Anolis sagrei: one gene and its partner. The protein of the gene in region 2 binds, or shares a complex with, the protein of the main gene of each other region. Links are inferred from orthologs where the notes say so. Each region holds a gene or a part of one and is shown on either strand. Other genes may lie near its edges.

The links.
Region 1: ZC3H13 (region 2) and RBM15B share a complex: the UniProt entries of both Homo sapiens proteins name them as parts of the WMM complex. The link is inferred for Anolis sagrei from reciprocal best matches to the Homo sapiens genes ZC3H13 and RBM15B.

What each region holds. Positions count from the first base shown.
Region 1 is NC_090022.1:71,045,146-71,052,610, reverse strand, and holds the start of RBM15B (putative RNA-binding protein 15B), read left to right. Parts: upstream 1-4,464; 5' UTR 4,465-4,834; coding exon 4,835-7,465. Other genes in the region: MANF (mesencephalic astrocyte-derived neurotrophic factor), read left to right, coding at 1,411-1,595. UniProt on the Homo sapiens protein: RNA-binding protein that acts as a key regulator of N6-methyladenosine (m6A) methylation of RNAs, thereby regulating different processes, such as alternative splicing of mRNAs and X chromosome inactivation mediated by Xist RNA.
Region 2 is NC_090021.1:140,394,973-140,401,819, reverse strand, and holds the start of ZC3H13 (zinc finger CCCH domain-containing protein 13), read right to left. Parts: upstream 3,001-6,847; 5' UTR 2,781-3,000; intron 1-2,780. Other genes in the region: DNAJC18 (dnaJ homolog subfamily C member 18), read left to right, coding at 3,493-3,529. UniProt on the Homo sapiens protein: Associated component of the WMM complex, a complex that mediates N6-methyladenosine (m6A) methylation of RNAs, a modification that plays a role in the efficiency of mRNA splicing and RNA processing.

The DNA.
Region 1 (7,465 bases), on a different chromosome or scaffold from region 2:
TTCTCAACCTGTGGGTCCTCAGGTGTTTTGGCCTACAACTCCCAGATATCCTAGCCAGTTTAGCAACTGTTAGGATTTCTGGGAGTTGAATACCAAAACATCTGGGGATCCACAGGTTGAGAACCACTGATTTAAATTCTGCAAGATATAAAATTTAAACAATAAAACAATTATAAGTAGATTTTAAAAAGATATCCTACAACATGCATGTGGACTTAAGCACATTATTTTGGTGGTAAGGGCCCTAGTCAATCATCAAATGCCTGACTAAACAAAAAATTAACTTGTCTGTCAACACAAAGGAGGGAAGGTGACAATCTGATGTCTCTTGGAAAGGAATTGCAGAATCTGGGGGCAGCCACTGTGAAGGGCCTATTGGGTTTTCCCAACAGATGTATCTGAGTGTGATAACATAAAGAAAAGGTCCTCTTTATGCTGAACCCCTTTAGAAGTTGAGTTACTGTCAATGCATTCCTGCTTTTATTTGCCATCTCTACTCCAGTTGGAGTAGAGAACCAGATGACAAGTCTGCTGAGTCAGGGCTAGTAGTGGGCCTGACTCTGCTAAGAAGTAGCCAATTTCCCCCTACAATTCCATAGATAGAGCACAACCAGGAGCAGCAGCAGCTGGATGAAGGTTGCTTGACTCTCCTGTCTTGTTGGCCCTCCAGGGGTATCACAGCTTCAAGGCAACATGCAGAATCTTTACCAGAAATTAATAACTATTCTTAATGCCATTTTACCTCTATGTAGAAGTGTAACAAAGTCGTAACAATACATAGTGGGGTTTGATTCTTACTAACTGAAACATAAAACAAGTGAAAGCAAAATCCTTTCTCAGAAATGTTACATAGCAGGCTGGTTAGCTCAAGGGTACTTGATTACTGAATTGCTAAAATACAAATGGAATAAATATCTTTGAAGCAGATTGTAGTACTGTGTGGAAAAAAATGAAGCCTTTTCTCTTCAACATAAAATTGTTTTAGAAAAAATTCCTGCTTCTACATCTTCATTTTTAAATATTCTGAAATTGGGAGTTCCCCAGAACAAACTTTGTTTTTCCATTACCTTTTTTAGGGGTGGAACAAAGAAAGATAATAATAATGATAGTAACTATAGTCTAATGTCCCGCCTTCAATCACCGAAGGGACTTGGGGCAGCTTACATGGCGACCAAGCCCAATATAAACAAGATTTCAAAGTAATACAATTAAAATATATAACAATCAACTGTATTAAAACAATAAAACCAATAAACTCCTATACATCTAGAGGAAATGATTTTCCTATACGTCTAGGGGAAATGACGGTTTGTGGTATTTCCTCTGAGTAATAATTTATAGAGACCTGGAAATCTGAAAGCAGTCCTCTGCTAACTCTTCATACAGTAACATGTCCTAATTTTTCATCAGATAAACAAATTGATCTGAGTACTGTGGACCTGAAGAAGCTTCGAGTTAAAGAACTGAAGAAGATCTTGGATGATTGGGGTGAAACATGCAAAGGCTGTGCAGAAAAATCAGACTACATTCGGAAAATCAATGAACTGATGCCTAAATATGCACCTAAAGCAGCCAGTTCCCGGACAGATCTCTGACCATCAAAGTGACCTCTAGCACATTATTAGCAAGTCACACACAAACTATGTTAAACTTTCTTTTTTTTTCCTGGACAGCTGTTTTTGTAACTTATTTAACTGGGTTTCAACTGTCAAATCGGAGCGAGCATTTTTTTCAGTGTTGGTTCAACTGCCTTGTTATGTCTCAAGTTATTATTTCTCTTGTCTGATTTATGTTAAAAATGGACTTATGGGATTTTTAAAATAAACTTTATGAAATCCAGTGTCATCTGATTTAAGAGAAGTGAGTAGAGGTTCAGTGGCAAATGAGGTCCATCTGCAGATTTAGTTTGACATTTAGTTTGACATTTAATGCAAGCAGGTTGGATAACTTTCCAGCATTTTTAATTGCTGTATTAGTGATGGTCTGTGAAACAACTCAATACTGGTGCTTGCCTGTTCATGTGTACTGCAAAACTGACATGAAATTTGTGTAAGTTATAATCTCTGAATATTTGGGGGTGGGGGAAGAGCAGGGCAGCATTCTGTACTATTATACGTTGAACACCAAGGATGCATAAGAGACCAACCATGTTCTATTCAATATGATTATAATACTTTGCACTAAATATCAGGATTAGGGCGAAGTATTTGGGACGGTTTGGTAGTGATGTTTATGTGTGTGTCCATGACAACATTCCTAGTTTTACCTTAACACATTAGTAGGCAAACATAGCACTTGTAAGGGTATTGGTTTATCATATGTACAAAAAGTTTGAAATTTACACAATGCTGCTCCACAGGCAGGTGGCCTGGGCCATGTGTTTTGAAGATAAATGTTCCTACATTTGACCTGGATAGTAGCATAATCTTAGATAATGCTAACTGGCACTATCCAAAGTAAAAAAATAAAGATAGCAGCCAAGCTAGTTGGCACCATTTCTGTTTATTTGTTCTTACTCACTTTAGTTCTAGATTTACCATTGCCAGTGAAGATGAAGCTCCTCCACAGAAGAATGGGGAGCTTTCCTCCAAGCATGTTCTCAGATAAGAATTAACACTAAGCACTCCTTATATCAAGAATGCATCATAGTCATATCCACTGCAGCTTCCACACCCTTGAGTGTGTGAGTACTGGGCACTCAAAAAGTCTGTCATAATTACCTGTTCTTTGGAAACCTACATTGTCAAAGGCTTTCATGGCTGGAATCATATCTGCACAGGCTGGCATCTTCAGAACTTTTGAAGATGCCAGCCACAGATGCAGGTGAAATGTTAGGAGAGAATGCTGCTGAAAAATAGCTGTACAGCTTGAAAAACTCACAGCAACCCAAACCTATGTTACTTCATCTTGACAGTGACATTACTTGCTATTATCAGTCTTGAGTACAAGACCCAGTTGTGCTTTGATATATGAGCCTGTATCATTATTTAATAGTTGGTGTGGAACATGCTTCATTTGCATGTGCCCACACCTGTTCCAGTATATGGAAAGTAAGGGAATCTTGCATGTGTGTAAATCCAGAAGCTTAGGGTTAATTGTAAGCCAGGTTGTCCTTTGCAAAGTCAAAGCTGTTCTGAGCACATTTTTGAATAAATGAAGCAGTAATTCTATGTGCATTTCCAGTGTGGCTTAGAGAAGCAGAAGATTGCTGTTGAGTATGGACTGCTTTAACAAATGCTTTATGACTCTTCTAACAACATAACAGAAATGTCAAAATTATGAATCATCAAGGAGGTTCTGTGAAAGTTAGCAAAAGAGAGACTAGGATTATTAAGCTACTGCACAAATAGAAACGTGTCCCTATTTTTAAACATGGATCTGATTGGGGAATATCCCTGTATATGGGACTAAAACATGTTCCACCTCCTTTCTGTCCAGTGGGCATTACCTCGGCTGACACTGTGACACTCCCAAGCTCCCTATTTCTTCTTGCATTTATTATGGCCTAAGCTATCCTCAGTATTACACACATTATTTGGAGAAAAATTGGGAACGCTCCTGTGGCATTGGTGATGGAATAGGTCATTTTGGCCAGTGCTACCTGCTTATATGAGGAGCAACACTGGCTGAAATTCTACCTCCTGCACAATGCAACAAAGGTATCAAAGCCCTCCAGATCTGTAGTCATTTGGTCTTTTTAAAAATCTTTAGGGCTAAAAACCTAATGATGTGTGCCTCTACACTGGCTGAGTAATACAGGCAGTCCCCAAGTTACAAACCGTAGGTTCTTCAGGCTTGTTCTTAAGTCGAATTTGTATGTCAGTAGGAACAGCCACGTTCTTTTGTGTCAGTCCGGGGTAGAGGGAGGGTGTGTGTGTGTATATACACACACATACACACACACAAACTTTGGATAGCATATGGAAGGGTTAAGACCTGTGGTGTTTGTTTTGTTAAGATTTTCCCTCACTTTCTGTCCCGGGAATAATAGGATTGTGTCAATTTTGGCTTGTGGAAACAAGGATTGGAGGGGGAGAGTCAGTTGAGACACTTTCCCCCATGATCTCTCTTCAGGGGTGAACTTCCCTCACTTCCTGTCGTCTCATCCCGTTCGTAACTGAGTCGTTGGTAGTTCGGATGTTTGGGACTGCCTGTAATGCGGCCTAAACGCGGCGTTTCCTCCGACCTGCACCTCGGCAGGCTGGAAACGTGGGCCGGCGGCAGGCGCGCTGTCCCTTCTCTCCTTGCCCTCCTCGTTTTGGCCCAGGCACCCGTCAAGGGACGCAAACCATTGCCGTTCTTTCTGGAGGCAACTGCGGCGCCTCTGAGGGCATCCTCGCCGAAGCCTCAGCCAATCGCAAACGTAAGGAGCGGGAGGACGCGCTGAAGTCTCGCGAGGCCGGAGAGGGGCGCGCGGGGCTGGGGTGTGGGCCTCGCCTCCCTTCCCTTCCGAATTGACCCCTTCCGCCCTCCGTCTGCCACTTCCTGTCCGCGAGCTTTGAGGCGGGAAAAGAAGCGCCTCCGCCCACCTGGGACTGGCCTGAAAGTCCAGGGGCGCGCAGGCAGAGGGTTTTTGTCCTCCTCCCGCACCCGTCTGCTGAGGGGAGGGGGGAGGCGTGGAGGGACTTGGCGTGGCCGAAGCCCTTGCGTCCCACCGCCGCCTTCCCCTCGCCCCCTCGCTCGCTCCCTCCCTCTCTCGTCATCGGCGGCGCGGGGTGATGACGCGAGAGGCGCGTACGGCGCGGCAACTGGGCAGAGCCGCCTTCGTTCGCTCCCTTTTGTCCAAGATGGCAGCTGGTGCCGGAGGCGCCTCTTGAGCCGCGGGCCCGGAGCCATGAAGCGGGCGAGCGAGCGGGATTCCAGCCCGGCCGGGTCCGGCTCCACGCGGGGGGCCTCCTCTTCCTCCTCCTCCTCGGCCAAGAGGCCTCGCGAGCGGGAGAGCGGCAGCGCGGGGGGCGGCGGCGGCGGAGGGAGCAGCAGTAGCCGGCGCGGCCCGCATCGCAGCTCGGCCGCCTCCTCCTCGTCCTCCTCGTCGCGAAGCAGCCGGGACAAGCCCTCGGCGGGCGGCTCCGGCTCCAGCTCGCGCAGCCACCGCGGGGAGGAGCGGCCCGGGCCCGGCGGAGAGGCCAACCACCGCGCCGCCGCCGCCGCCTCCTCCTTGTCCTCGTCCTCCGCCGCCAGGAGCAGCAGCAGCCAAGCCGCCAACCCCTCCCCTTCCTCCTCGGCCTCCCTGCCCTCGCTGGCCTCCTCCTCGCGGCTGCTGCCCAAGGCCAAAGCGCTGCCCGCGGCCCCGGTGGTGGCGCCCTCCCTGCTGCTGGGTGTCCCGGCTCCGCCCCCGGTTGCGGCGCCCTCGCTGCTCCTGGCCCCGGGCCTGGGCCTCTCGGCGGCGGGCCTGGCGGGCCTGGCGGTGGAGCCCCCGGGGGCCAGCAGCGAGTACAAGACCCTGCTGGTCAGCGGCCTGAGCCCCGCCCTGCCCGACCAGCTCCTGGAGGAGGGCCTCTTCCGCCAGTTCCAGCGCTTTGCCAGCGGCGGGGCCAGCGACATCAGCGTCAAGCTCTCCCACACCCCAGAACTGGGGCGCGTGGCCTACGTCAACTTCCGGCACCCGTCCGATGCCAGGGATGCCCGGCGGCACGCACGCGCCCGCCAGCTCCTGCTTTTTGACCGGCCCCTCAAGGTGGAGCCTGTATACCTGCGGGGCGGCGGGAGGAGGAGCCGCACCCCACCGCCCACCCCCTCTCCAGAGCCCCTGGCCTTCCTGCCCCCGCTCCACGGGGGGGTCTTCCCCTACAAGCAGCGCTCGCTCTCTCCTGTGGCCGGGCCCCTCCTCCGGGAGCCCCGCCCCCCGCGCCATGCACAGGCCGCTGCTGCTGCCGCTTTTGCCCTAGAGGCCGTGGCCCTAGGCCTGTCACGGGAGCGAGAGCGGGTGCTGGACTACTACGGCCTGTACGACGAGCGGGGCCGGCCCTATGGATACCCCGCAGCAGCTGTGGCTGCAGCCGAGGAGGAGCTGATGCCAGAAGATGACCAGAGGGCCACTCGGAACCTCTTCATCGGTAACCTGGACCACAGTGTTTCCGAGGCGGAGCTGAGGCGGGCCTTCGAGAAGTATGGCATCATCGAGGAAGTGGTCATCAAGCGCCCAGCCCGGGGCCAAGGGGGCGCCTATGCTTTCCTCAAGTTCCAGAACCTGGACATGGCACACCGGGCCAAGGTGGCCATGTCTGGCCGAGTGGTCGGCAGGAACCCCATCAAGATCGGCTACGGCAAAGCCAACCCCACCACCAGGCTCTGGGTGGGCGGCCTCGGTCCGAGTACTTCCCTGGCTGCCTTGGCAAGGGAGTTTGACCGCTTTGGGAGCATTAGGACGATTGACTACGTGAAGGGGGACAGTTTTGCTTACATTCAGTACGAAAGTTTGGACGCTGCCCAGGCGGCCTGTGCGCAGATGAGGGGCTTCCCGTTGGGCGGGCCTGACCGGAGACTGCGAGTGGACTTTGCCAAAGCCGAGGAGGCGCGCTACCCTCAGCCGTACCCGCCCGCCCCGCTGCCAGTGCACTATGAGTTGCTCCCTGAGGCCTATAGCAGACACAGAAGCCTAGAGCAAGACTTAAGGGTGAGGGACAGGACTCCTCCTCATCTTCTCTACTCTGACAGAGAAAGGAGCTTTCTGGAGGCAGATTGGGCTAGTCCTGTCAAAAATGCAGAGCGTAGAAATAATTTGGAGGCCTACAGCCGGTCAGCACGGAGCCGGAGCGGAGAACGTTGGGGCAATGATGGCGACCGCAGCATGCTTAAGCCTTGGGAGGAAAGGCGCAAACGGCGCAGCCTTTCCAGCGAACGTGGGAGAGCCACTCACTCGCCTTATGAGGACCGAAGCAGGACAAAGCCTGGAGGGACAGCTGTTGACCGCAGTCCAGATCGGGTGCGGAAGGAGAACCACGCAACTGAGGCCACAACAGAGAAAGAGCAGAATAACTCCCTCCAGAACAACCGACACACAGCAGAGGAGAAGCCTCATCGCGAAATGTCTGATCCTCAGCCTAAGAAAAGGGACAATGAACGCAATCATCGAACTGGTGAGTCTGAATCAAAGACTCACGAAGAGTCCAAATTGGAAACCAAGAAACTAAAAAGCTTGTCAGATTATGCCCACACTCTGCAGCTTGCCTGGCATGGGCTACTTGTCCTGAAGAATAGCTGTTTCCCTACATCTATGCACATCCTTGAAGGGGACTTGGGGGTCATTAATGGGCTCCTGAAAGACCACTTGTCTGGGGGAAAGCTGACCCAGCTCAAGATTGCTCAGAGACTTCGGCTTGATCAGCCCAAACTCGATGAAGTAACTCGACGCATCAAGCAAGGAAGCCCCAATGGCTACGCTGTGCTGCTGGCCACCCAAGCTACTCCAGGAGCAAGTGCTGAAGGGACCTTCCCTGCCGTGGAGCCCAGCTTGCAAAGGCGG
Region 2 (6,847 bases):
TTAAGAATATTGTGTATAAAATTAACTTCAGGCTATGCGCATAAGAAAAACATGAATTATAAATTTCTTCTTTAGATTTGGTTCCCATCTAAAAGATAGATACATCTATTCAAATACAGCTATTTCAAAATACGGGGGGGGGGGGGGGTTAAAAATCCAAAACATTCCCATTCCCAAGGATTTGGGATAAGGAATATTTAACTTGCATTTATTTGACCGATATGTACAGAACTTATTTGATAGATATGTTCCTAGGGTAAATATGAGGAAATTACTGTAGACTGTCAGTTAATCGGCACTTGTGGGGATTGGTAGATGCCAGATAAATGTGGTTTCTGATTGCTTCAGAGTTACTATTAAAAACAGGACCACCTAATACTATACAAACTCTGTATTGACTTGATATTGATAATGTAATACAGCAGCTAAAAGCAAATGAGGACAAAGTTAATGTAACATTTAATACATTATAAATACTGATTTTTCTATATTTTAATTTTTATTCAGAGTATTACGGTATTGTTTCATTTTTTAACGATTGCTTGGGAGTTCCTGTTGCTTGAATTTCAGTTAACCGAGTTTCTACTTAATGTAACACTTAACACATTATAAAAATTGATATTACTAAATTATTAAAATATATTTACATTTTTATTTAGAGTATTATAGTCTTTGTTTTCAAATTTTTGCCCAGTTGCTTAGGAGTTCCTGTTAACTGAGAGTCTACTGTTCAGGTATTCCAAATGGGGGTGGGTCTGTAAATCCCAAACACCCCTGGTCTCAAGTATTTTGGACAAGCGATCCTCAGCATGTATAGATCCCATTTCTTCGATTCTAAGGTGCACTCCCCCACCCCATCTCAAAAAAACAGGGTGTTTTAGGTCCCATCTACACTGCCATATAAAATCCAGATTATCTGCTTTGAACTGAATTATATGAGTCTGCATTGCCAGATTATCTAGGATTAACAGAAAACCTGAGATCAGATCCTGAGACATAGGACCTGTCTGGAAGGACCCTGGAATATAAATTTATATTTTATTGATATGTTTAATTTTTATTATATGTTATGTTCTTAATTGTATTTATGATATTGTAAGAATTAAATTTTACCCTGTTAACTGCCTTGAGTTGCCTATAGGCTGAGAAAAGTGGTATACAAATACAGTAAATAAATAAATATTTGCTTAGAGAATCTGAATTATATGAAAGTGTAGATCCAGGCTTAGGACCCTTCCAGACAGCCCTATATCCCAGAATATCAAGGCAAAAAAACCCATATTATCTGAGTGTGGGCTCAGATAACCCAGTTCAAAGCATATATTGTGGGATTTTCTGCCTTGATTTCCTGGGATATAGGGCTGTGTGGAAGGGCCCTTAGAATCGCATGTGGGTTTTTTTTCCTGTTTGTGGTACTAAAATGATCCACAATATCTGCTTTGAACTGGGTTATCTGAGGGCCCTTCCACACAACCCAGAATATCTGCTTTGAACTGGGTTATCTGAGGGCCCTTCCACACAATCATATAATCCAGAACATCTGCTTTGAATTGGGTTGTCTGAGGCCCCTTCCACACAACCATAAAACCTAGAATATCTGCTTTGAACTGGGTTATCTGAGGCCCCTTCCACACAACCCAGAATATCTGCTTTGAACTGGGTTATCTGAGGCCTCTTCTACACAACCATATAACCCAGAATATCTGCTTTGAACTGGGTTATCTGAGGGCCCTTCCACACAATCATATAACCCAGAACATCTGCTTTGAACTGGGTTGTCTGAGGCCCCTTCCACACAACCATATAACCCAGAATATCTGCTTTGAACTGGGTTATCTGAGGGCCCTTCCACACAACCATAAAACCCAGAATATCTGCTTTGAACTGGGTTATCTGAGGGCCCTTCCACACAATCATATAACCCAGAACATCTGCTTTGAACTGGGTTGTCTGAGGCCCCTTCCACACAACCATATAACCCAGAATATCTGCTTTGAACTGGGTTATCTGAGGGCCCTTCCACACAACCATAAAACCCAGAATATCTGCTTTGAACTGGGTTATCTGAGGACCCTTCCACACAATCATATAAACCAGAATATCAAGGCAGAAAATCCCACAATATCTGCTTTTGAACTGGGGGCCCTTCCACACAGCCATATAATGCAGAATATCAAGGCAGAAACTGGGCTATCTGAGTCCACGCAGCCATATATATATTCCAGTTCAATACAGATGTGGGATTTTATACAGTTGTGTGGAAGGGACCAATGTGTGCGTCTTAGAATCGAAGAAATGCGGCCTTCCTTGGATATGTACCCCACTTTAGAAGCGGTTCCTCGCAAGGAGGTGGGGGAATGACCTACGCTCCTGGGCTCTGGGAGATTCATGTATTTCAGTGGTTCTCAACCTTTGGGTCCCCAGATGTTTTGGCCTTCAACTCCCAGAAATCCTAACAGCTGGTTAAGTGGCTGGGATTTCTGGGAGTTGTAGGCCAAAACACCTGGGGACCCACAGGTTGAGAATCACTGATATATTTCTTCTCTTGGATTGTGTAGACCAGGCCTGCTCCAATTAGGCCCGGCAGGTGTTTGGGCCTCCAACTCCGAGAACTCCTCCTCATTGGGCAAGCTGGCAAGGGCTTCTGGGAGTTGGAGGGCTAATGGATGAATCCTAGTGTAGGATGCCTGGTCCTTCAGGCCCACAAGCACTGGTTCCCTCCCTCCTTCCTCCCTTCCCGCCCTCTTCCGCTGGGGGTTCCGCGGGCCAAAGGCTCTCACCTGTTCCCTCCGCAGCCGCCCCGCCCCTCCCCCCCGCCGCCGCCCCCGCCGCCGCCGCCCAGGGCGGAGAGGGGGGGAGAGGGCGAGCGGGGAGTCCGTCCTCTCGGGCCTAAGAGCCGCGCCGCACGGGGAGGAAAAGGAGGAGCGCCGCCCGCTCCGCCCGCAGCAGCCTCAGCAGCCGCGCAACGACGCCTCCCTCAGCACCGCCGCCGTTCTTCTTCTTCTGCGCCTCAGCTCTTTCCCCTCCTCCTCCTCCTCCCCCCGCCCTTGGCCGCGCGAGACAACCGAAATCCAGACACGAGCCCCACTTTGCACAGCAACCCCCCTCCCCTTTGAAGTGCGCCTGCGCGACCAACCGCTGCCTCACAGCGCCGGCGCGCGCCACTTCCGGCCCCGCTGTAGCAAAGGCGCCATAGGAGAGCGAGGCCCACAAAGCTTTTCAAAAATGGCGTATTTCCGGTTCCCCCCCTCCTTTCTACTTCCGGCGTTCGATTGACATTGGAGTGCGCCTCCCTGCACGGACTGAATTGGGGTCTTTTCCAACGCAGTGATTCTAGGCAATAGGACTGCTTCGCGGTCGGTTTTTCCCGCCCATTCTTGGTCTCCGGCGCGGAGGGTCCCGATTGCTCGGGGGACTCCAAGGCCCAGGGCGCCTTGCGCGTGGGAGTCACGTGGCCGCAGGTTTGGCCCCGCCCAGTTCCCCCGATGGATCATGGCCGTTCTGGGCCCGGGGCAGCGCTGGGCCGAAGGTAACGCTCCTTCGGGGGAGGGTCCCTGGAAGAAGGCGGAAGAGGGTGGGCTCTGGGCGCAGAACCACAGGCGGTTGGCCCTCTGCGGGGAGTGCCCGGGTTGTGTCTTCCTGCCTATTAGAAGGGGGTTGGCCCCTTCCCACTGTAAGATTCTATGCAGGGGTCTTATACTGTCATGTCTCCCTTCCAGCTTAGCCTCCTGCCATTTCCCATGGCATTTTGGTTCTACTTTTCCTTATTCACCGGTTTCCGGGGCCAGGAAGACAGTCCCATCTTGTCTCCTGCACTGGGCTAATAATATAAAACTAGCCGTCCCCTGCCACGCGTTGCGGGTTCTATGTGGGAGGTTTGGCCCAATTCTGTCGTTTGTGGGGTTCAGGATGCTCTTTGGTTGTAGGTGAACTATAAAACCCAGCAACTACAACTCCCAAATGTCAAGGTCTATTTTCCCCAAACTCCATCAGTATTTACATTTGGGCATATTGAGTAACCGTGCCAAGTTTGGTCCAGATCCATCATTGTTTGAGTCCCCAGTGCTCTCTGGATGTAGATGAACTACCACTCCAAAACTCAAGGTCAATGCCCATCAAATCCTTCGAGTATTTTCTGGTTCAAGTTTGGTTCAATAGTATCATTGGTGAAGTTCAGAATGCTCTTTGATTGTAGGTGAACTATAAATGAAATCAACTACAACTCCCAAATGACATAAGCAATTCCTTTTCCCAATCCCAGTAGTATTCAAATTTAGGTGTTTTGGGTATTTGTGCCAAATTTGGTCCAGTGATGAAAATACATCCTGCATATTGGATATTTACATTACAGTTCATAACAGTAGCAAAATTACAGTTATAAAGCAGCAACGAAAATAACATTGTGGTTGGGGGTCACCACAACATGAGAACATATATTAAGGGGTTGCGGCATTAGGAAGGTTGAGAAGCACTGTTCTATGCAGGGGTCTTATAGCTCTGGATGTTTACACAGGAAATGCCATGTGTCCCAGCTTAGCCTCCTGCCATTTCCCATGGCATTTTGCTTCTACTTTTCCTTATTCACCGGTTTCCAGGGCCAGGAACACAGTTCCATCTTGTCTCCTGCACTGTGCTAATAATATAATACTAGCAGTTCCTTGCCATGCGTTGCTATGGCCCACATGAGGGTTCTATATGGGAGGTTTGGCCCAATTCTATCATTGGTGGGGTTCAGAATGCTCTGTGATTGTAGGTGAACTATAAATCCCAGCAACTACAACTCCCAGATGTCAAGATTCTATTTTCCCAAAACACCAGTGTTCACATTTGGGCATATTGAGTATTCGTGAAGAGTTTGGTCCAGATCCATCATTGTTTGAGTCCACAGTGATCTCTGGAGGTAGGTGAACTACAACTCCAAAACCAAAGGACACTGCCCACCAAACCCAGTATTTTCGGTTGGTCACGGGAGAACCGTGTGCCAAGTTTGGTTCAATTCCATCGTTGGTGGGGTTCAGAATGCTCTTTGATTGTAGGTGAACTATAAATCCCAGCAACTACAACTCCCAAATGACAAAATCATTTTTTTCGAGTGAAGGACATATATTGGGTTGTTAGGTGTCTTGTGTCCAAATTTGGTGTCAATTCGTCCAGTGGTTTTTGAGTTCTGTTAATCCCACAAACGAACATTACATTTTAATTTATATAGATATTGTATATACATATAAAAAGTAAAGGTTTTCCCCTGACATTCAGTCCAGTCATGTCCAACTCTGGGGTGTGGTGCTCATCTTCATTTCTAAGCCAGAGAGCCGGCTTTGTCCATAGACACCTCCAAAGTCATGTGTCTAGCATGACTGCATGGAGCGCCATTACCTTCCCCCCAGAGTGGTACCTATTGATCTACTTATATTTGTATGTTTTTGAACTGCTGGGCTGGCAGAAGAATATAAATATAATTTTGATAATATTATAATGTAATACAATATAATATTGCTAATAATATTACAGTATAATGTTATAGTACAATATAGTAATATAGTAATCAGCAGTGCAAATGGTACCCCAAGTGTCCGAGGACTTTTGTTTTCCTTGCAGTACAATAATAGCTTTTCTTCTGGAACAGGCATCCTCAAACTGTGTCCCTCCAGCAGGTTGGGCCTCCAACTCTCAGAATTCCTGATCATTGAATAAGCTGGATAGAGCTGCTGGGAGCTGGAGGGCCGCAGTTGGAGATGGCCTGCTCTGGAGTTTCTCAAATTATAAGGGGTCTGTGTGTGGAATAAGGGCTGGACTTTAGAGCTGGACTTGGAGGGGAAGTACTAGGGCAAATGTGCCAAAAAGGGTGGTGAAAGAGTTGCAGGAAAAAGATTTAGAACAGAAGTCGTTTTCTGTTTCAAAGTACTATGGGCAAAAGTTTGAAAAGGAAGTTGAAGAAATGTTTATTATGGCTACAGAGGGCTGAAAGAAAGTAACTTAGGCCCATCTACACTGACCATTTAATGCAGTTTCTAACCAGTACTGAAGAAGATGGTTTCACTGGGCAGATGATTACAGAGGAACCGGATGGTGATGACTTAAACCACAGAGCACTGATGCACAATAAGGGCTTTCTTTCATGTGCTTTTGTGGGAGTTTGTTGTCTATCTGCCTCAGGGCCCTTCCACACAACCCTATTTCCCAGAATATAAAGGCAGAAAATCCCACATTATCTTCTTTGAACTGGACTATATGGCAGTGTGGACTCAGATAACCCAGCTCAAAGCAGATATTGTGCTATTTTTTGCCTTGATATTCTGGGGGCCCTTCCACACAGCCCTATATCCCACATCAAGGCAGAAAATCACACAATATATGCTTTCACCTGGGTTATCTGAGTCCACACTCAGATAATGTGGGAATTTCTGCCTTGATATTCTGGGATAAATGGCTGTGTGGAAGGGCCCTCAGTCTGAAGCTATCTTCATTAAATGGCCAGAGTAGATGGGGCCTAAATGAATGGCTCCTGGATGTTTATAATGGTTCCTTCTCTTCTGTTATCTCGCATCAGGGCTGGAGGTGAGAACAGCCAGTTTCACAGTATTCCTCTGCGTACCAGTTGCTGGGGGTCAGGTTCATAAGTATGGCACACAGCAGGTGAGATGTCTTTATCTTCCTCACCTGTAGCAGGCTTCTAAGAAGCATATGCTGGCAACTCTTTGAAACCAGTTTCTTCCCAACAAGAATTCCCAGTCTGCTGTAGCTGGCTTCTTATGTGTAGTTTAGTGTTCCTGAAGCGATTCTTTGTTTTAAGACATACATTTAGTGGACCCTAGTTTGGTGAAACCAATCTGCTTCATACCTTCCA